Linked DNA regions of Drosophila melanogaster. Changing the gene in region 2 together with the main gene of any one other region gives a genetic interaction. Each region holds a gene or a part of one and is shown on either strand. Other genes may lie near its edges.

What was found. A genetic interaction does not mean that the proteins touch.
Region 1: of Atx-1 (region 2) and sens, changing one suppresses a phenotype caused by changing the other (phenotypic suppression), as found in Drosophila melanogaster (one study listed by BioGRID).
Region 3: of Atx-1 (region 2) and Nmnat, changing one suppresses a phenotype caused by changing the other (phenotypic suppression), as found in Drosophila melanogaster (one study listed by BioGRID).

Annotation. Positions count from the first base shown.
Region 1 is NT_037436.4:13,394,189-13,403,996, forward strand, and holds sens (senseless), read right to left. Parts: upstream 6,938-9,808; 5' UTR 6,720-6,937; coding exon 6,560-6,719; intron 6,279-6,559; coding exon 5,197-6,278; intron 3,267-5,196; coding exon 3,116-3,266; intron 2,880-3,115; coding exon 2,647-2,879; 3' UTR 2,040-2,646; downstream 1-2,039.
Region 2 is NC_004354.4:6,820,038-6,825,903, forward strand, and holds Atx-1 (ataxin 1), read left to right. Parts: upstream 1-3,166; 5' UTR 3,167-3,217; coding exon 3,218-3,318; intron 3,319-3,375; coding exon 3,376-3,601; intron 3,602-3,654; coding exon 3,655-4,020; 3' UTR 4,021-4,166; downstream 4,167-5,866. Other genes in the region: Nf-YC (nuclear factor Y-box C), read right to left, coding at 1-487, 646-689; xit (xiantuan), read left to right, coding at 1,056-1,123, 1,179-2,093, 2,157-2,267, 2,335-2,776; nonC (no-on-and-no-off transient C), read left to right, coding at 4,601-4,949, 5,019-5,382, 5,453-5,866.
Region 3 is NT_033777.3:24,942,260-24,949,439, reverse strand, and holds Nmnat (nicotinamide mononucleotide adenylyltransferase), read right to left. Parts: upstream 4,204-7,180; 5' UTR 4,183-4,203; coding exon 3,987-4,182; intron 3,915-3,986; coding exon 3,508-3,914; intron 3,457-3,507; coding exon 3,355-3,456; intron 3,297-3,354; coding exon 3,145-3,296; intron 2,965-3,144; coding exon of another isoform or gene 2,928-2,964; exon of another isoform or gene 2,607-2,927; intron 2,557-2,606; coding exon 2,286-2,556; intron 2,178-2,285; coding exon 2,136-2,177; 3' UTR 2,040-2,135; downstream 1-2,039. Other genes in the region: mah (mahogany), read right to left, coding at 1-379, 516-722, 781-921, 977-1,086, 1,162-1,808; ssh (slingshot), read left to right, coding at 5,791-5,850, 5,919-6,164, 6,230-6,621, 6,914-6,979, 7,043-7,180. UniProt on the Drosophila melanogaster protein: Catalyzes the formation of NAD(+) from nicotinamide mononucleotide (NMN) and ATP. Essential for viability.

The DNA.
Region 1 (9,808 bases), on a different chromosome or scaffold from region 2:
GATGCTGCTGCCCCTGCTCCTCCTCATGATCCTGCTCCTCCTGCTCCTTTTTCGAGTCCTTCCGTCTCCCTCTATCTGTGTATTACAGGTGCCTTTTCGATCGCATCCCCTCCGAATTTTAATTGTGAGCCGGGCTCTTGACTTCACCTGCAACACAACTGACCTAAGACATCTTTTTTGCCCTTGCTCTTGGCCGGGCTCCTCACCTTTTTTCTTATTTTTTTTTTTCCTTTTTTAGCCGCAACTATTATTTTTATTAATAGCCAAAGTCAAAAGTCACCTGCCCGGCACCAAAAGGGCCAAAGAACTAGGGGTAGCCGGAAAACGGAACCGATTCAGAGGATGGTACGTGGGGACGGGGATGGAAAGGAAAGGACACGAATTTGTTGCGGGTCCTACAACTTCTTTAGACCACTTCTAAGATCAATTTCCTCTTCACAATTTCCCCCCGCGCGATCACGGTTTGCCCATTCAGCATTGTCTGCGTTTTGGGGTTGCAGCTTTTCAGTCTTTTGATAGCCACACATTTTCCATAGCTCTCTCCTTTGTTTCCATGGGGGCTTGCCCGACTGTTGAATAAATTCCAAACGGCATGACAAATTATGTGGGCTCAGGTGTTATGCGGAAAAGGGGTTAATAAACCGAGAGTCAGCGCTGCGGAGAAACTCCAGCATATGGCTGCGACCTATGTGTATCTGTATCTGTATCTTATCGAGTTTGCATTATGGAGTGCAAACTAATGCTAAGCTGCTTCTTGTACTTTCAGCGATTTGAGGTATATATAAAGTATATGCACAGTTCATTAAGCAAAGTATTAATATTCGTGATTAAAAATCTATGCACTTATGCTTCTGATTTTACGGATTTACCTTCTCTTTTATTGACTTTTCACTTCAATATCAATATCTTCAATGAAAGTCATATTTGCACAGAACTTGCGAGTCACTTTCAAAGTACTAAATTTGATAAAACGTCCGACCTTGAGTTTCGCAATCCACCTGGCCAAATGCCAACTCAATAGTATAATGATCAGCATCTACATTCTTTGACTTTTGATCCCCACTTTGTCGGCACTTGGCGTAAAGTCCTTGAACTGCATTTTTCTTCGGCAACAATTGAACTGCATATTTCTCTCTCCCCTGCCCGGTTTTCTTTTTTTTCAATATTTTGTCAATTTCGATCAATTTGTGGCGTGCCAAAGTCAAAGAAGACCAAGAACAACCCGACGATCGAGTTTGGCTGCAGAAAGTGGCCCCAAATAAAATCCTGCGGATGGGGCTCGCTGATTTGGTCGATTTCTGATTGCGACTGCCGATGAATGGCGATAATGAGGGAAGTCGGTGATTTGTAAACTGCCAAACTTCATTTCGGGCGTTTTAAAGTGCCGCAAAATGCATTCGGACATTTCGATTACCGAAAATTGCGATCAGCAGTCCTCAATGACCATTGCTCCATGCCCCCCCCCCCCTTCTCGATCCCCGCCAGCCCCATTTCTCACTTTATTTCGTCAGCAATTAGTTCGAACTTCGAACACTTATTGGCGTTTTCCCCAAGGATCGGGCATGCAAGTGGGCCGAGGGGGATGTGTACCTGCTGTAACGCGGCGACTTACAAAGGGCATTCCCCAAATGCCACATTGGGCACAGATCAAAGATCACCGCGTCACCCGAAACAGGAGCAACTTATTCCCCATCAATTGAGTACGTGCAGAAATTCATCTATAAAATCAGGTTTACGAACAGGCCCCCGAAAAAATATTTGGAGCGCTTTGGACAATTTGTATCAAAATGTGGTACTTCAAAGGAGGAGGCTGTGTCCTTGATACTAAGGAATTTCTCAGCTGCTCAAGGGGTTGATCGTAATAATGAGATATTTAACCCACCCGATGTAAAAACTTTTTGAATTAATAATACATACCAAAAATATATACATATGTATTAATCATATCATGTGTATTTTCTGATATGCCTGAGGATTTTGTATAAAGGAATCAATCAATCATTCTAGATATTTTATCCTTAAAAAAACCCATATATTTTGTTTGTTCTCTTTTAGCTTTCAACTTTATTTTCCAAAAATCATATACGCTCCTAATAAATATAATTACAATAAGTCATTGGGCTTATTACAAAATAAGAATAAACTAAAAATTCGCATAGATCGTATAAATAAATGTGGGTGATGCCATCAATAAACTTAAATAAATTAGGAAACTAAATTTAGACAAGTGGTCGCCAAGTGGTAGTTCATTTGTTTGAGGTTGTTCTTTGGTACGTTTAGCTGCCAATTTTGGGTTAAGTTTGAATCAAATCAAAAACGCTTTATGCAATAAATTAGATTAATCATTAAGCTAGGGTTTAACGGCTATAAAAAAGAGTCTTGTTTGGGATAACTATGTACAGACTTAAGGCAGTATCTTAGCTAATATGTTTTAACAATAATTCTTACGATTAGGTAAATCTTTGCGAAGGCCTAAACAAAACAAACTTTGGCTTCATAGCAACGACTTAGACTTAGGGCCAACTGTGATCTGCTCCACCTTCATCATCATCATCATCATCATCATCATCTGGTTTTGAGTGTGTGTCTCGTCCTGCTTAGCTAATACTGGGATCTCCTGGATCAGAGATTGCCGCCTAGCCTCGGTCAGCAGCTGCTGCTGCTCACCTCCATCTTCAGGGGCTTCAGGTCCTCCACTGGCGGAGCCTCCTCATGGCGGCTCTCTCGATGACGTCGCAGATCCACCTTGCGCTGGAAGGACTGATCGCAAAGGTGGCAACCGAAGGGTTTATACCCCGTGTGCTTCCTCATATGCGTGATCAGGTTGGAGCTCTGGCTGAAGGCCTTCAGGCACACGGTGCACTTGTGTGGCTTCTCGCCTGGAATCGCAGGAAAATCAATAAACACAATTAGTTAAATGCCGCTTCAAAGTTTATTAATTGTGGCCGAGAGGCGGCGGCAGCTTTACAGCAATTAGACAAATTGAAAGGCGATAGGGATCTGTGTGTGTGCTCAAGGGTGGCTCTGTTTGCACCACGTTCTGACACATTTGCCGAGGAATAGTTGGATACTCTCCCCATGGACTAGCTTTGATTTCACCGAATATTCAACTTACCGGTATGTATGTACGTGTGCTTTTTCATGTCCGACTTTTGGTGGAACCGCTTGCCACAATATTGGCAGGGATATGGCCGTGTATCGCTGTGGATGAGCAGATGTGTGGACAGGGTGGACGAACGCTTGAAGCTCTTGCCACACTGTTTGCACTAAAAAGAAAGACATAGACAATAGAAAAATACATTATTAACACCACATTCAGACAGAACGAGTCATGATTATTGGAACTCAGAATACCCCATATTTGCACAGCTTGAGCATATTCACACCAAAAAGCCAAATAATCAAAAAATCAGAAAAGAATTTATATATAAATTCACCGTTTTTGTGTGCCTGAGCCAAATTCGCAGTGGCAACATGAATTAAACTAGATTTGTGAGTGCTCAAATATTTGTTAGACAAGTGACGACAAGGGAAAACCCAAACCAAGCCAAACTTGGTTAGCCCACATCCAGGCGACAAATAATCTAGAACCTTAGCCATTTCTCAGCGCTGAAACCAGCTAGGTAAATATCTCGGCCCAATGCTAAATCTCAAGTGAGACACTTTCCAGGGAGCTTTAGCCATGCATATATGTACATACATTGTATATACCGCAGTATTTGTGGGCCAAACACAGCTGGGATCCACGGGGAATCGATCGCGGGGATTGGACGAATCCAGTGGCTGTAACATCTTCGGTTGTCAGATTAAATGTTTGAACAGTTTGCCAGTTGCAGCAACGTTGCAAGTAACCAAACATTGACATAACACAACTCAAATCGTCGGCCTACGTGGGCGACATTTATATTAAACACGAAAACATGAAAACAACGAAAAGTAAAACACAGAAATGGGTGAAAAAAATGTGAGACAATTTTTTTTTTGAAAAACCCGCATGGTCTACGCGTAATTGTAAATTGACACAAGTGTCGGTTTTTTAAAATTTCTTTCTTATTGATTTTTATGTTCTCTTATTTTTTTATTTTTTACGTTTTTTTTTAGCCTTGTTTTTGGGATTTTCTATTTGCGCATTGCATTCGCGTGGACCATATCCACTACACACATTGGCTAGACTCAGACCCAATTAGTTGCTCTATTGTTAAGCTGCGCTCAACTGCCTGAGCCATAATGTCAATTTGCTTAGCTCTGACAACGGAACGGAAGTTGGCAAAGCTCGAAAGGCAAAAAAAAAAAGAAAAAACGAGCAGGGAAACAAAAAAAGAGTTAAGGAGAAACCCCAAAGTCTGAGTCAGCCGGGTGGGCCTCCAATGGTGAACAGATGTAAAGCACGAATTACAGAAAAAATTCGATTTTATACATAAACAGCTGAAGAACAGTGACTGCGCCTGCGCAAAGGACTCTGGCAACTGTCTTCGTCGGCTTTTTGACCATATGTCGGTCCGGTACTGAAGCCCGAAAACCTATCGCATTTCACTCTGACCCTTTAATGTGTGAAAAAAAAACTGGAAAAAGATGTTAAAAAAAAAAAAAATAAGGACTCGCGGCGGGTGTTGATGGATATAAACGCAATATGACATCGGGGTAGGCATAAGGCCTATTAGGGTAAGTCGTCTCAAATTCCTGAGGGTCGTGTGCCCTCTTACCTTTTGCACAATCCAATATCGAATTATTATGATTGTAATTTGTACATAAATCTTCGAGGGCGAGTTATGCCCCCCACCGCACTGGCGCTAATCAAAATTATTTGATTAACTAATTGCGTGATTTCGATGGGACTTAATTGAATTTCCATAGAGCTCTATCGGTTTGGCTTGTATTACCAACTTTATGACAGTATTTGCTGTGCCACTTTTCCAAATTGAAAGTGGTATTGGTGGGGTTTTCGGCTCGGCGACAATTAAAACCCGCACGGACAAAATATGAAACAATTAACACAGGGGAATTGTCGAGGACACGCAACCTTATGCAATGATACGAACAGTATTCGTTTTGGGTTATAGATCATGGTCCTTCAGGACACGTGATAAGCCCATTAAAGCGGGCTGGGGGCTCAGAGATTTTCAAGCGATTTGCCCTCGATTTCCTCTTCATATTTCCCTACCCCTCGACGCGTTTATCCTGTTTGAGTTTGCTTACCTGGAAATTCCTGCCGCTGCGCTTCTCTTCGTTTTCTCCTTGGTAAGATGACGAGGAGGACGAACGACGCGCAACATCTGTGGCCGTCGAGTCAGGATGTTGCTGCTGATGCTGATGTTGCTGCGGCTGCTGCTGGTGATGCAACTGTTGTTGCTGCTGCTGCTGCGGCTGTTGGTGTTGATTACGCATGTAGCCGAATTCGGCGGCTGCCACCAAATTCATGAGTGCCGCTGCCGAGCGGTTATCCTGCTGCTGCTCGTCCTTGATGCGATGCTGTTGCTGCTGCTGCTGCGGCTGCTCGCTCTTCAGCTTCAAGTGCTGGGTGAGCAGCTCCAGATTGTTGCCCGTCAATCCGGCCATGAATGCGCTGCGATGGGCATACAACTGCTGTTGGGCCACCTCGAACTCCAGATCCTGGACGGCATTCGAGGCGGGAGCGGACAGCGAGGAGATCGGCGATTGCAGCGAGGATATGGATGCAGTTCTGCGCTCATACTTGAACTTTCGCACAATAGGATCCACCTGGTGCTCCTCCTCATCGCCCTGCTCCTCCATCTTCAGGCCGTACTGCTCCCTTCTCGCCGATCTCTCGCACATCGAGGCCGGTGACCAGATGATGTTACCCTGCGATCTCTGGCGCTGTTGCTGTGGTGTACTCGAACTCTTTAGATTCACAGCGCTCAGGGGAGGCGGGGTAACGTTCAGCGAGGTCATCGGATGCAGTTGCTCCACTTCACTGCTGGAACTGCTCCTGCTGCTGTTGTTGCTGCTGCTGTGATACTGATCTCGGTTGGAATCATCCGATGTGATGCGCTCCTTGGTGCTTAGATTTAGTGGCATATCCTCATCCTGCTCCTGATAGTCCTGCTTGCTGTTCTCATTGTTATTGTTCATTTGGAGTTCATGCTCCTTTTCGGGCGTCAAGGCAAAGTCACGATCCCGCTGACCCAAAACCACAGAGGCGGGCGATTTGGGGGTCATGGGGGTCAGTGGTGTACCCAGAGCCGTGGCCGAGGACAACAAAAATTGGGGCCACAGTAGGGCACTCGAGTAGAGCAGCGGGTTGTACAAAAAGGGCAGATCTATGAAATGCAAATTTAACGAATCAGTTGAATAGTAGTGATTAAGATTAGGAAGGAAAAGTATCCTCAGGATGCCTATCAATATAAAGTTACTCTTGTATTGGTAAGAACTACAGTAAAGTTAACATAATTTTTCTGATCTGTTGAAAGTGTTAACATTTTGATTTTAAATCGAGTGATCTTTTAAATACAATTCGAAACGATTAAAAAGCTATAAGCTAATCTTTTTGCTATCTTTACTGCCCCATATATTTTTCTGTCAATCCAGATCGGGAACTCACCTCGACCATTGAGTTTCTGTGCTGCGGCGGAGGCTATCACAGTGTTGAAGGCGGATGCCCGCTGCATCCACTGCTTGTCCAGAGCTGCTCCATGGCAGCCCAATCCCGCGGGACTCGGCTGCTGGGAGTGCGGCGATGGCGGCGGCGATAGGTGATTCATTTTGATTCTGGATCTTTACTTTTTGGAATCTCACTGGATCTGATTTACGTATTTGCTTTAACAGTCTTTGGATTGTGATTTTTCTCAATACTGTTCACTGCACAAATCTCACTTTCTTGGCGTTGTGATCTTGGATTCGAACGGATCTTCGATGGGTCTTATTCAGTGCGGTTTTATCTTGACTCACTGGAGACGAACACGTCCGTATCGCTCGGTGCTTCGCACCTGACTGAATCTTTGGTCGATGGCTCAGTTCTAAATTGAGCCAACGGTGAAGCGACTTGGCCCGAAAAAAAGGTACAAATCGAGCTCTCTTTTTTTTATTTTTGTGTGCGACTGTGGTTACTTGTGGCACTGTGTGAGTGCGGCAGCAAGCCGAATCAAAACGAGCCCTCGGTGTATTGGTGTTGACTCTTTTGGTGGTGGCTCTCGAGAGCCCTGCAATGTATTGTTGGTGTTGGTGTTCGTGTTGCCAACTCTGGTTTTTCACCTTTGGCAGCAGTTGGCGGCAGTTGCAGTCCTGTGTTCCATGTTGTATGGGTCAAGACGCACAGTTAGGAGTCCCCTGGCGATCTCGATACCCCAACCCCCTGCGTTCGTATCCTCTTGGCCCATCTACTACTGGTTTTCCAGCACGCGTTTCCCTACTAATTGGTATGCACTTAAAGTTTGGCGGGCGTTTGTTATCCTTTTCCCGCTGCCCTGTAACAGTTACAATTGCCTTTGCTCTTTCTGTTGCTGCCACCAACTGTTGTTGGCTCAGGAATATCGGGATCGGTACTTTGGCCAAGGGAGAAGAAGCGAGAGAGGGCCAGCAATCGGCAGAGGATTTCACTGCTGATCGGTGGAAGGGGGGAGAGGACGAGGGCGGGATGGGGCGGGGTAGCATACAAATATTTAGGTGGATGAATCCAAGGATCTAACATCTGTCGTGGCAACTCTCCATGTTTGTAGATACTGTTTAGATTACCTTTAGATTTGACAAGGATTACAAATGGGTTCCTAATTTTGAATGTGATGAAAATTAATTTTTGTATTAATTATTAAAAATACATTGCGAGTAAAATATAGGAGAAATTAAGTTTAAATTCATTTTTATTTGCGCTTCTCCCAATAAGGGTAAATAGTTTAAAGCAACATCGTGAATTTAATCTTTAAGCTTTAGACTTCATCCATAAAAAGTGTTATTACATTTTAGAGGATTGACGTAAACCTACTTCACAACCAATGCACAAATATATAAACTTTATTTAAATTATTGTAGAATTTTTTTTGTTATATTTCTATATAAAATCTACCTTACCAAAATGACATATTTGATTATAATAATGTTACATTTAAATACATAAGATTAGGACAGATTTTATTTAATAGCTATCAAAATATCAGATTTCCCATTTAAAACCGTTTTAACAAATAGTTTGGTTTGGTTTCAGAACATTAACTTTCAACAAAGTTTTTGTTAAATTTCTCAATGCAAACTTTGCAGTTCGTCGTATTTTCCTAAAGCATTTCAATAAAATTAAAAGACTGAATTCTTTTGTCAGTCAATTTAAAACCAATACCAAACTCTAAGCCATAAAGTCCCCATCTTCTCGTTGGATCGTAGCTATTAAACCACTCAGATAGGACGACTGAGCACCTGCCACTTTCTCCCTCTACCGCTCGATGCACCTTTTTCCGAGCTTATCCTTGATGAGAGTTCGGGGTCCTCCTCCTGAGTTGGTAGCTCGCCACGCTTGGCCACCTCGTCTTGGCCGCCTCAATTCCAGTTTATCTATCCTTGGCGCGGGCCACACCTGCCTAGAAAACGAGCCAAGAAAATGTGGCGGGCGCACACTTACACTTCCACATTTAACGATCCTTTTCCTTGTCAGCAATTTTAGTTCCCATCCCCTAGTTTTTGGCGCAATTTCCATGGCAGGACATGTGCAGAGTTGAGGCGACACCGAAATTCCATCGCACTCGTGTCCGCCACGGGTGCCGCCGATCTAGCGAAGCGGTACGAGGCACGCGGCCTAAAAGCGGGCCAAAATGGGGGAACTCTGGCTTCTACCATTTCGACCGCGATGAGGGCTGGCCAAGTCAAGTTGGTGGCATCGTTGCGCTTGGCGGCGTTCCCATACATATTGTTTATCTGGAGAACTGAGGGCGCGTGCTCATCCCCTGCCGCTTTGTAACGGATTCACCGTATGCCGCTCACACATCTATCATCGTTTGATATGCGGTACACTGAGAGAAATACTGTTTTGAAAATTACAATATTCCTGCATATAGAATCCGCTTAATGCAGCTAGGAATGCAGCACTGAGAAATTTATTGAAAAGGCTTTTACTTTAAACCGAAATCTATTATAGATTACCGCAACAAACATGTAAATAAGTTGGTGCTATTTAGTTTTAATATCCATTACTTCGAAATAGGATAATTCTATTTAAGACAGACAAATGTAAAAGCAAAATTCTAAAATTGAAAGTACGTGTTTAATAAGCTTCAAAACTAGAATTTTGTAATAAATATTATCACGATTGATACCAAAAGTCTTGAATGCATTTTGAATTATCAATCATTATTTTTTGTAGTGCATTGCAATGCATCACAAGTTCGAGAGTCGTATATAATTTCCATTCTCTGTTTTTTCATGTCGGCGACATTTTATTTACGACACCCTCAGCGTGCCCCTGCGTTTGAGCAAATCCCACACTCTGCCGCTCGGAAATTCGAAAATGCCTTTGCACTTGGCTCGTGGCTCTCGGCCAGCCGCTCGCTGATTGGCCAGCAGAACGCCGAGAGGGCGGGTAACACCTACACGGAACGGGTTTGCGCCTGTGTATGTGAGCCAGCTCGTGGCGAGGTGAGTTTCTGCTTCTGGCGAACATCGGAGGTGTGTGGGCCGTTTGGACCGTTAGATAGATGTTGGATTGGCCCAATGAAAACCCCCATGATGAATGGTCACGTTGACTTGGTGAATGGCCATAACAACTAATCTACGATTACCGTGCTCATACGATTAACAGATTTTTAGTTAACGTTAGACTGATTAAAACAACGAAATTGATTAAAATCATTGTTTTTATCATGTTAATCTA
Region 2 (5,866 bases):
CGGCGCCTCGCCGGCAATCATCTTGGCGTTCTCGTCCAGCTTCATGATTTTCTTGATGCGCGCCAGCGGCAGCACCTGGTGCTTGGCATCCACCTGGCCGATGCTGTGCACCTCGCTCACGATATTTGGCCAGAAGTTGTCGATGGTGGGCGGCGGTTTGCGTGCCACCTGAGTTCGTGTGGCCTTCGTGGTCTTCTCCTTGGCGCCGCTCGCAACGGTGGTGGCCACCGTCACACTCATGCTGGGATTAACCAGCGTACAGGCGTTGGACACCAAACTGGCCATGGGAACCGTCTGCTGTTGCTGCTGGCCCTGCTGTTGCTGCTGCTGCTGGGCGGAGGAGACGGTGGAGGAGGAGGTGACCACCACTGCATTCGGTGTTCTTCGCTGCATAGCCGCTGAATTTTGCGATTTGGCATACGCCTGGCCCAGTTCCATCTTTATGGGCGTCACTGTGATGGTGTTGTCGAACATGGAGGTGGCATTGCTGTAGGGCATTCACATTAGTTTCATTCAAATTATTTGGCATGCACAAATCGCAGAATGAAAACAAAAAGGATCGGCGCACACACTAAAAATCTCGGCTGTACCGCCTGTTTTTTTGGGGGAGGGGCGCTAGATTTTGCTGGCGGAGGCGGAACTTACCTGTTTGGCGCCTTGTTCGTGCCGCCATTGTTGGTGGCGTACATGGCCCGGTTGGCTGGAGACCTTAGCTCGGCGTTGGCGGCAACCGTGGGACTCTGGCGACCGGCTCGAGTCCACAATATTCGCTTTAATTAGCTTCTAATTCGCAAAGCAAATGCGTAATGTAATGCACACACACACACATGCATACACGCGAGCGTCAGTGTGACCAGGCGGCGGTGAGGGCGAAAACTGGACAGCCCGATAACGATAGCTTTTAGTCGGGCTAACTGGCTACTTCCAAGCCACATTTAGCCGGCACAATCGACAATCGCATTCTGCCCGCTTTCAAGCCAGATCGGACAGCACTTACCGCTGATAAGGAATGCATCGAATCTAAACTACAATCCCAATCCCTGAGAGAAACGAAGATGAAGGACCTCTTCTGGCACCTGGTGGGCATAGCCACCGGCCTAAAGATCCTGCTGATTCCAGCCTAGTAAATGCAGTGCTCTGTCCACTTATCAAGCCCACTAAATCAACTTCATCCTTAGCCATTCCACGGATTTCGAAGTCCATCGCAACTGGCTGGCCATCACCCACAGTTTGCCGCTGAATCAGTGGTATGTGGACGCCACCAGCGAGTGGACACTGGACTATCCGCCGTTCTTCGCCTACTTCGAGTGGCTGCTCTCGCAGGTGGCCAAGTACGTGGATCCACGAATGCTGGTGGTGGATAACCTGAATTACGAGTCCAAGGCCACCGTTTACTTTCAGCGGCTCTCGGTGATTGTTACGGATCTAGTGTATGTGCTCGGCGTGCGCAGCTGCCTGGGCTCACTGGGATTGGGCAGGGATACGCAGCAGTTCTTTGCCGCCTCCATGTTGCTGCTCCTCAACGTGGGATTGATCTTCGTGGACCACATTCACTTTCAGTACAATGGCTTGCTGTTCGGCATACTGCTCCTGAGCATCGGTTCCCTCATCCGGCAGCGGTTCCTCTGGAGCGCCTTTGCCTTCGCCGTGCTGCTCAACTTTAAGCACATCTTTCTGTACATGGCGCCCGCTTTTGGGGTCTACCTGCTGCGTTTCTATTGCCTGGAGCAAGCGAGTGTGGTGTCTGCGGTGGGTGCCGTTGTCAAGCTGCTGGTCGTTGGACTTACTCCGTTCGCCGTGTCTTTCGGACCCTTCTGGCAGCAATTGCCGCAAGTCCTCTCCCGTCTGTTTCCTTTCAAGCGTGGCCTAACGCACGCCTACTGGGCACCCAACTTCTGGGCGCTGTACAATGCCGCCGACAAGTTGGCCGCCGGAGTTTTGAAGGTACAGGATGGCGGTGCCTCGACGACGTCAGGATTGGTCCAGGAGGTCAGGCACTCGGTGCTGCCAGCCATCACACCGCCTGTGACTTTTGCCCTGACCGCTCTCTTCATGCTGCCCATTTTGGTGAAGCTCTTTCGCAGTGCCAAGAAGTGAGGAAATCCTCGTTTGGATTCCAAGATATCGCAGCAAACTTATCCGCCATCTCTTTGCAGACAAAGTCCGCTGGTCTTCCTGCGAGCGGTGGTTTTGTGCGGCTGTTCCTCCTTCGTCTTCGGCTGGCATGTGCACGAGAAGGCCATCTTAATGGTGCTCCTTCCGCTCTGGTGAGTTCCCTTCCCCTCAGTTAATTCGAAATGAAGGAATCCTACTAACAGGCCCACCCTTTTTCAGTCTGCTCACGCTGGTAAACCGGGAGGATGCCAGATACGCCTATGTCCTTGGCATTGCCGGCTATTTCTCTCTCTTTCCGCTGCTCTTCGATGCGGATCTGTACATTCCCCGGTATTCCCTGTACATGTCGTACGTGGCCATGATGTACGGCCAGCTGTATCGCATCTTCCCCGGCTTCCGAGGCTTCCACACGCTGGAGTGGCTATACATGCTGGGCTTCATGGCTATTCCGCTGTACGAGCATCTGCTCTCTTTCCTGCTGCACCTGGACCAGCGCCTGCCCTTCTTGCCCCTACTGCTGACCTCCGTGTACTCGGCGTTGGGAGTGCTCTACTTCTTTGGGGCCTACTATCTGTACGCTCTGGGCATTAGCTGGGGCAAGGTGCCCATCGCATCGTCCACATCCGCGGCCGCTGTTAAGAGAAAACGAAAAACCAAATAAACGGAGCGCTATAAAGGGCTTCAGCAGAAATCCGCAATTGGTCACGTCTTGCATTCAGAGTGGTAGTGCTGGTGGTGCAGCCGAGCAGTCTTCAAGGCGCCTGGCGCAACAGCCAGTTCGGCGCCGCTGGACGGGATTCTCTGGTCCGATCGGCACAATGGACAACGAACAATGGCTGTTAAGCAGAATTCGGTGGGCAGGTAGCGGTCACCGGCGGCGTCTAAGGTGCCACGTACCTGTTGGCACGACCAGATTATGGCCTTTTGGGCCATAAAACAGGTACGAGGCGGAATAGTCGGCCGGCCGTCCGTCCGAGTGGGTGACATTCCTGGAAAAACCGTGGAAAACACGCTGGAGCTGAATGAATAAGTGTATATCAATTGCCAGCCTGGGCAGGGAATACTTCAGTTGACGAGCTTCCGTCCAGACGAACAGATCGACATGCAGATGCACATGGAACTCTCCTATGGCCGCGGCTACGATCCAATCGGGAGGCAACCACCGTCTCTTCCTCCTCCGTCGCAACAGCACTGGTCCAGCAAGTAAGCAAACGATTCGGCACTTTTTCCCATCCAGTTAATCAGTTGCCTCAATTTTAGTGGGTTCTCCGACGACTCCGCTTCCTGCTTCCGTCGGGGATCCTATATTGAACTGGCCAGCGGAGCCATGCGTCGCGTGGAGGACATACGCACCGAGGACTTCATCCAGTCGGCGCTGCGCAGTCAACTATTTGAGCTGCGAGAGGCGACAGTAGTGAGGATAGACTGGAGTGGATGCCCCAGCCTGGTGACACTCACCTTCAGCTACGACACACACCACGCCAAGGTGGGTTCGCCAATCTGTACCCATATTCGTCTCATCATTGACCAATGTTTCAGATGGACTTGCAGGTGCAGCCGGGTCATCCAATGTTTGTTTACGGACAGGGCTGGGCCTCCTGCGATCCACAGTTGTCGCTGCAGCTGTACGAGCTCAAATGCCAGCAGCTGCAGGTGGGCGACATATGTTTGTCGCTGGTGCCAAACGAGCAGCCCGCCGCACCATGTCCGCCTCAGCCGGCGCCGCCACCGCCGTGTCCGCCTCCTTCTCTGCCCCCGTCCATGGAAATGCCAGTGCCGATGGGTTCTCCGCCTACCGGAAGCTATGGATTTCTGCCGTTTAAGCATCCGTACGAGATGTACGCCCAAATGGCCAGTTTTGTGGCCGTGTACACCCAGCACATGATGGGAAAGCTAAACTATTAAGCCACAAATTTGGTGATTTAACTGGCGTTTCAGGAATATATTCAACGCTATTCCTTGAGTACGCCACGCATTTACAAATTTAATCTAGGTACAAAAATCACAATGTATTTTGCTTAATTTTCTGAAATAAAGTTTAAAGTAGCTGTAATTTCAATTTCAAGCCAAAATTGCGCGCGCCAAATATAACAGAGATGCCACTTTGGCCGATACCCACTGCATTCAACAGTTCCCCTTGACGCACGAAGTCCTCGTGTCACGATTCTCTGAAGTGTTAATCAAAGAATCCTGGACAATTTGGATGACATTGTCAGTCCTCCTGTCAAGCATTCTAATGGCAGAACACATTGCAGTCGTGGTGCAGTGAAAAATTACACAAGGAACATCGATTCGATGGCCCGTTGAGCGCCAGCGTCAGCTGTTTCTATCGATAACTGATTGGCACGATTGTTGCAGCAAGAAAAGAAAAGGAAAAGAACGAAATAATTAGTATAAACTAATCGAAGAATATCCACGCGAAACAGTGGTTAATGACGAACTTTGGAGGCATTCGATGTCTGCGCTAGCTCCGCCAATTCCCTCTATGAAGAACGCGATCCACCCAGAAAACTGCAATGGAGCTGGAACCGAGGAGGAGGCGTCCTCCGCGTTCCACGCGGAAATTGACCGCGTTCTGCTGAACAACAATGGCAATCACGGTGACAGCAGCAACGAAGGCGGCGGTGGTAATGGCAGCGGGAGGGGTGGCGCCACCGGAAGCGGCAATATCGCCGGCTTGGGAGGCAGTGAATCCATGTGGTCACCTGGTGGTGGTAAGTCGCACGACGTTGCGCAGGCGTTCGCCAACGCACTGCTGCTGCGCAACATGAACCATGTTGTGGGCAAAGGGCAGCCAGTGGTCCAAAATCACCGAAAGGCTTACCAATGCAAAGGTAGGTCGACAGTTTTGACAGTTTTGACAGCTGCGACACTCGTTTAAATTTGTATTTCCATCTTAACAGGCGATACGATCAACCCGATGGCCAATGGCGAAGATCTGCGTCTGTCCAAGATCATCCGCAGGCTAATCAACGAGAACAATCCCACCGTGTCTCTGGAGCTGTGCAGCAAACTGGATCAAGCAGTGCGCACGCCTATCAACATGGGCTACATGACATGCTCCTTCGTGTGGATTCTGGACAACATGCTCACCCTATACAAGCAATGCCCGCCGCCGGTTCTAGAGGAGTGCAGCAAGACTCTCGGCCTGATTGGCTTTATCAACCGCAAGTCGTATCCCATTTACGAGGAGTTTATCGTGAAGAACTACAAGAGTAGCAAGCGCATGCAGAAGTACATGATCATGGCCCTCCGCGCCACACTGAGGTGACACATTCCCTGCCCTCTCCATTAGCATTGTTCGTCTTTTTTATAACCCATCCCAATCCAAATGCAGCTGCGACACCAAGTGCGAGCTGCACATGTACGCCGACAAAATCATGCTGCTGCTGAAGGATTTTCTGGAGAATGCAGAGAGCGCCGATATCTTTATTGTCGTCAGCAACACGCTAGTGCAGTTTGCAGCCAGCTATGCGGAGACTTTCGAGTGCCACTTCACCGACGTAGTGGACATCGTTATCGGCTGGCAACTGGAGGCCGGCCAGCCCACGGACCTGAAGACCCACTGTGCCCAGGTACTGGAGCAGTTGACGCCGTTCTTTAGCAAGCAGATCGATTTCAGTTACGGATTGTTGGACCAGTTTGTCGAGGATATCACCACGCTGGAGGAAGGGGAACCCGCAAACACAGCGGAGCGTGTGGGTGCCTTCGTTGGTGCCTTTAACACGCTGCTTAAGTGCCTGGCCCGCAT
Region 3 (7,180 bases), on a different chromosome or scaffold from region 2:
AGGCCGAAGATGAGCACCGCCATGGTGCAGGACACGTCGCACTCGAGGCGATGCAGCAAACGAACGAATCTCAGCCAACAGCCGCGTGGCGTGGTCGGCGGCGAGATCACCAGCAGTGGTTCCATCTCAAGGTCCACCGGATCGTAGTTGAGGTCCAGTGGCAGACTACCATAGCTCGCCTCCGCTGCGATTCGCTGATGAACTCGCTCCATTCGCCGGATGCGGCGGTACAAAAGTGGCGGGAGAATGAACACCAGGGGTCCGGTGATGGTGCCACCCACCACGTCCATCAGGGCATCAAAACTGGGCACAAACTCCGCCACTAGGACCTCCAAGGCCAGCACTGAAGAGCGGATTAGCATGCGTTTGAAGGAGAGGGCTATAAAAAGGAAGGATTAGCTGATGACGTTGACTTAGATTAATGTATTGAAAAATCTTATGACGGAACTCATTAAAAGTCTTTCTTAGTGGAATGAAATTCCTAGATCATTAACTTAAGTTAAAATGAGGCTCACATTCCGGTAGTTTGAAGTAGTTCTCGATCTGCATGAACATCGCGGAGCTAGCCACCGTGACGGAGAAGCAAAGCTGGAGCGCCATTAGGATGAGCATCACATAGAAGGGCACACTGGTGGGCAAAGACTGCAGCAAGTTATCAGCTATCATCGATCCAAACTTATAGGCGGCTATGATGGAGCCAAAGATGGCCACGCTGCAAGTGACTAATCGAGAGGAATGAAATTAATATCCATCTGTAATCGGATTGGAGGAGCAACTCACTGGCGATTCCGATGAGCGCAGCCCAGGAAACCTGCGACTTTTGCTTCATGTCGATCTGAAGGGTCAGCAGGACGGGGTGGATGTCAAACTGGAAGGCCAATATGCTGTAGCTGTTGAGCACGGTAAGGAAACCGGGCAGCTCTAAGAAAAACCAATTTAGAATATTTTAAGCATATGCCCTAAGACCAATACCCACCCAAAGAGATTCCCTCAAAGGGTGTTCCAATTGCAGGAGCTGCAAAAAGGCAGAACCACAACAGCGCCACAATAACGATCATCACGCAAACTGCGATGATAGCCAAGCCCCTGGGATAATTATAAAATAGGATAATGCAGTGCATTGATAGAAAGCAAATAATCCTATCCTGAAATTTATCTTACCGCATGTGCTTTGGACTTCCCAGCCACATGAGCGGGCAGATGACCAGGCCGACTATGATGGCCCAGTAGCAGTAAGAGAAATTGTACTGACCAGCGCTCATGCGCAGCACGACGCCCTCTAGATTCTGGGCAGCCATGACCACGCTGGGCACCGCCATGGCGAAAATGCTTAGATCGAGCAGCACGGACACCAGCAGACTCATATAGGGACCGTAAGCCAGCTCTGCTAGTGCGGCATACGGATAGTTGCGCTTCTGTTGAATTGAAGGATCAAGCAGTTCCGCCATGGTCCAGCATTGGGAGAGCAGGAAGGAGGTATAGATCTGCAGGATGATGATAGAAAGCACCAACAGGATGCCAAAGTATCCAAGTTTCACCAGCAATGCCGGCAGCGTGACAAATGGGAAGATGCCAAACAAATCCACCACGTACAGGATGGCGATGAAAAGCGAAAGGTTCTCCGGTTCGTCCTCGTAGGCGCGGAAATGGGGAAGGGCGCTGAACCGCGATCTTCGCAGGAAGGGCAACTGGTCGTGCTGATGCGAGGGCGTTAGCTGGACAGGAGGCCGACGCTTTGGAAGCGCAAAGGACGGAGCGCGCGAAGGGCGTGGCGCGGGTTTAGCATTCTGGCGACGGAAGAAGAACATTCGCGATGTGGACTCTTCCAAGGGAAGCAAGCAACTGCAGTCCCTCTAAGCTTAAACTAATGGTGGCCACTCTCGCCTGCAACTGGCATATTACCATCAACAAGTTCTGACATCAGACACCAAAGCGAAGCCCTGCAACGACTGCAATGTCAATGCACGTCGCCTGAAGTTCAATGCCTTGTCCCTCCACTCCGTGAAGTGACCCACAAAAGCATGGGCAGCCGTCAACTTGGTAACGAACGTGTTTATTTTGCATATTTATATAATATCAACAAATAGCTTCCAGCGCCCCTGTCTTAATCCGCGTGAGATTCGTCTTCCAGTTTCCTAAAGTTGCACTTGGGAAATCTTCTGCTTCTTTGCTTGGCTCTGAAAGAGGGGAATTGATTAGAAGGATCTAAACATAAGTTTGAAAGCAAAACTCTGGATTCCATCTATGTATGAAATGCAATGGATACAGCGGTTAAGGATACCCACCTCCTCTTTCTCATCTGCCTGCATGGTGATGACCTGCACCGCTTGTCCAGGACCGGATCGCAGCACCTTGGATCCACGTAAAGGCACCTCCCCGCAGCAGAAAACCCGCGACGTAGGCGTATGCTGCAGTTGCGGGCTTGGAGTGTCCGACTCGTCCATGTCCTGCTCCAGCTGGTCGCCTATAGAGTAGCTGTTCGCGTTCTTGTTGTTGTCCGTATAGGCGTGGTTAAAGAGCAAATGGTTGGGACGCACCGCATCCGTTATATACTTACTACATTCCATGGGTTAGGCGGGCATGGTCAGTACAATAGCAACAAAGTTAAGGTTATTGTTTAATGGGACTACATTTTGGCAACAATTCGGTGTAAGTAGATGATACGCACACTGACCACCGCAAAACTATGGCTAATTTAACAAGGGTATTTACAAGGGCTAAGATTGGGCAAAAATAAACATGCATTAAAGGAATCACTGCTAAATAGGAACTTGAACTCGGATCTGCTCTGCTCACTCACGCTCCATGAAGAGGCGCCACGGCTCAAACAGCTTATGGTGCTGGTGGGGCAAGTGGTGCGATTTGCGGTGCTGGTGGGTTGGAAAGCGTGTGGGCGACGAGGGCTTCTTTTTCACGTGCAAAGCGCGTCAAGAGTCGCATTCGGTCGGAGCCGGTGCATCCCGCCTGCAGTTTAAGACATAAAAGGAAACAATACAAAGACTGCTGGTGGTGCACGTTAAGTGTGTTCTCTGCTGTGTGAAATGGATTAAGGTGGCGCCTCATTCAGTGTACGTATCGTTTGAAAGATGGGTAATTGTAAGTGAACATGCAGGATTAAGGGGAGGTAACAGGAAGACCACCTACGATTTAAAGTTAAACAATCGTTGGCGCTTGATGTACTCCAGCACCAGATCGTCTAGAAGGTACTTGACCGACTGGCCGCGTCCTAAGAGCCGCCGAATCAACGTGGAGCTCACCTCATTAGGCACCCAGTTGGTGATTAGCGTAATGTTGCTCTGAAATGTGAATGGAAATGAATAAGAAATAATGTTGTCGAGGTACTGTCTCTCTAACCTGATACTTGGTCAATATGTCGGAGTCAAAGATGAATTTTCCTGGGTTTGAGCCGGCCCGGGTGATAACTACCAAACCATGGTTAGCCACAATGTCCTCAATCTGGGAACAATCATATAAAAAAAGGTACTATTCAAATATATCAAGACTTACATCGGCCTCTGCCCATAGGCCTGGAACAGCAAAGGACTCCAGCAGATCGGCACCGCACAGTAGCTTCAGATGTACAGGATCCCGACTGTCGTGCAACCCACGAGGCAGCCATCCGGGTAGATGTGTGTTCTCCCCGTCATCTCCGCCTCCCCCGCCGGAATTTATGTGGTTATTGATATAGTTCTGGTGGTGCTGGAGCACCGCCTGCGTGCGCATCCACTGATTCTGGTGCACCTCCCAATCGGACAACCGAATCCAATTGGAGCTCTGGGTGGCCAGCTTGACCATGGCACATCTGTCCAAGGCGGAGGCCAGACCCTTTTTGCCATATGAGTCGTGCGTGGGCGAGATGATGCCACCTACCACTCTGTGGGTTCCCTGCATTTCGAAGTGGTCCTTGGCTATCTCTGTTGACAAAAACATGCCGCGTAATTTTATCGATTATGTACCGCAGAATTTCACAATCTAGTTTAACTCACCGAACATCCGAAGGTGCATGGGTGTGGGTGGACTGAAGCATCCGCAGGCTATGAAGGCGATCCGCGGCAGCAGGCTTTTTGTTTCCTCGATGAATGCTGACATTTTCTTCGATTTTGAGCGTCTTTTAAAAGATCCAAACCGCCGGAAGCATTCGCTTGTTATGTTGTTCTTGGGCCAGCTGATTTTCACAATCATCTGTTCGGCTTGTTGTTATTTTCCAACACTAAACAGCTGTGCAGTGGCTACCACCTCTGACTACCTTTGACTTGTTATTCGATAAATGATAACTTAATGTAACTTAATTTTTTGATTTTTAATCATCAAAAAGGCAAGAGTACATAAAAATGTATTAAAGCCTGTTTTACTGATATATCAAGAAGTATACAAACATCACTGCGTTTCTCATTAATAAGTACTTTTTTCGGTGTACCACACGAACATTGCTTTCGCTTGCGATAGTTAGCCAGCCCTGCCAGAACGATTGCCTGACGATACTAGTGTTATCGATTAGAAATGGCGTCCTCACTGTCTTTCTTTTAAGAAAAATTCGTGTAGTCTATTTACCATTTAGCAGCGTTGTGTGTGTCCGTTAATTGTAAGGACACGCTGTTTCTTAGAGAGAACCGCCTGGCTAGAGTGTCCGGAAAGCGGAAACCAAGACGATCGCAGGACGAGGTCGCGGAGCCGACTGCAAAAACAACGGCCAGCAGGCAGCGATATGAAAATGCATTTGTAGCCTTAGCCCACAACACTTGCACACACACCACACACTCTCGCGCACACTCACACACAGGGAAAAGGAGGTGGAGCAGAAGGAGCCGAAGCAGGAGAGGATTGCAAGGGACACCGCTGCAGCATCGCCATCATCTGCGCCAGGTGGAACACGAGGGTCAAGAGGCGTCGGCGGGGGAGGAGGAGCAGGAGGTGGAGGAGCGGCTGCGGCGACGACGACGACGTCCACGACCACGGCAACAACAAATGGCGCTGGTGACGGTGCAGCGCTCTCCCAGTGTGGCGGGCTCCTGCTCGAATTCGGTGAGAGGAGACTTGATGGTTTTCGCGTGTGCGTATGCGTGTGTGCTTTGTTTTGGTCACCCCCACTCTGCCAGGAGAGCCAATTACGGGCAGGCTCTTTAGTGCGTGTTCCGCTTTTGGCCATGATCCTTTGTGTGCTCGGATGTGCTTTTCATGCCCAATGTTTATCATCCGCCAGCTTGTTGCTTACGCTTTTTGGATTTCGACGTTCAACGTTCGCGTGTGGGCGGTATGAGGCAGCGTCATCATCGTCATCGGCTGTGCTGCGCTGCGCTGCTTTTGGTGTAACCCAAGCAAATCCGCAGACGTCGCGACGTCTATATTTTTCAACAGACTTTTGCATTGCCTTATTTGTCGTTTTTGTCGCTTTCCGCTTACCGCTTGTTTTTGTTTTCTTCGCCGCCCCACCGCCCAAAAATAGTTCGCGAGACCTTGACGTCCGCCTGCACAGAGGGAAAAATTAATATCGGGGGTTGATCAATTTAATTTTACAAAACGTTTTAATTCAGATATGCTCAATATGTCAAATCGGTATTTTTGAACACATAAATTAACATTTTATTATTTCTAAGAAATCAGAAAATATAAAAAAAAAAAAAATACTTCACTAAACCGGAATCTTTTTCGAACTTGTGACCCTTTTCTCAAAATCAGACGGTATTCAGTTGAACAATCAGATTTCTTGGAACTGCAGATACAGCTTTGCTTCTTTTCCGCCCTTGAAGTGTAGACTATAATCAGGAGTTTATCTTACCCCTTTGCAAAATAATGAGCATGCAAGTTTGTTCTTTGCCAGACGACATCCTTATATTTAGCCTAACCCCACGGGTGAGGTGCAGCAGGATAAGGTATTCTTAAACACCGAGTAAACAACTTTCCTTTCTCTATAACATCAGGATGGCGAGTCCGAGGACGACGAGGGCAATAGCAAAGGAAACGATCGCAGCGAGTGCTTCTTTGCCGGCAAGGGAACCGCCCTGGTACTGGCTCTTAAGGATATCCCGCCCCTGACGCAAAGCGAGCGTCGCCTGAGCACCGACTCCACCCGCTCCAGTAACAGTACGCAAAGCAACAACTCGGACATCCAGCTCCACCTGCAATCAATGTTTTACCTGTTGCAGCGCGAGGACACGCTAAAGATGGTGCGTATCCAATGTAAAATTACTTTGTCTATCTTTTAAACATATCTTTCTATTCCTATCAAAAGGCTGTCAAGTTGGAGTCACAGCGGTCCAACCGCACGCGCTATCTGGTGATTGCATCGCGTAGTTGTTGTCGGAGCGGCACCAGCGACCGTCGGCGCCACCGGATCATGCGTCACCACTCGGTAAAAGTTGGTGGATCCGCGGGAACAAAGTCGTCCACCTCCCCGGCGGTCCCCACGCAGCGTCAGCTGTCCGTTGAGCAGACCGCCACAGAGGCCAGCAGCAAATGTGATAAAACAGCAGACAAGGAAAACGCAACGGCGGCCGGCGACAACAAGAATACCTCGGGCATGGAGGAGTCCTGCCTGCTGGGCATAGACTGCAACGAGCGGACCACCATTGGCCTGGTGGTGCCCATCCTGGCGGACACCACAATTCACCTGGATGGCGATGGGTAAGACTGGGCATTCATCTCGTAAGAGTCATGCACTCATAACTGCCTAATTGTCGCTATTAACCTTGGGAATTATTTATAGAATTAATTTAAAAATTAGCCGCCCCTAATCTATACACAAATCGGTGTCGCCTTGACCAATTTCCTAGTTGAGCGGTGGCATTTATGTCGCACATTTGTTTCCAATTTATCTTAAGCTATTTTAATAATAGCATGGCAGAGTGTATTTGTTCTGATAAACGTGTGATGTGCATTTCCTTAATTTCAATGGTTTATCTTATCTTGCTTTCAGCGGATTCAGCGTCAAAGTGTACGAAAAAACGCATATATTTAAGCCGGTCTCAGTGCAGGCCATGTGGTAGGTGCCTCCTTTGGAGTCAGATCCCCTTCAGTCACAAATTAAACCCTTGTTTCTTTCCAGGTCCGCGCTGCAGACGCTGCACAAAGTGTCGAAAAAGGCTCGTGAGAACAACTTCTATGCCAGTGGACCCTCCCACGACTGGCTATCCAGCTACGAGAGGCGCATCGAGTCGGACCAGTCTTGTCTGAACGAGTGGAA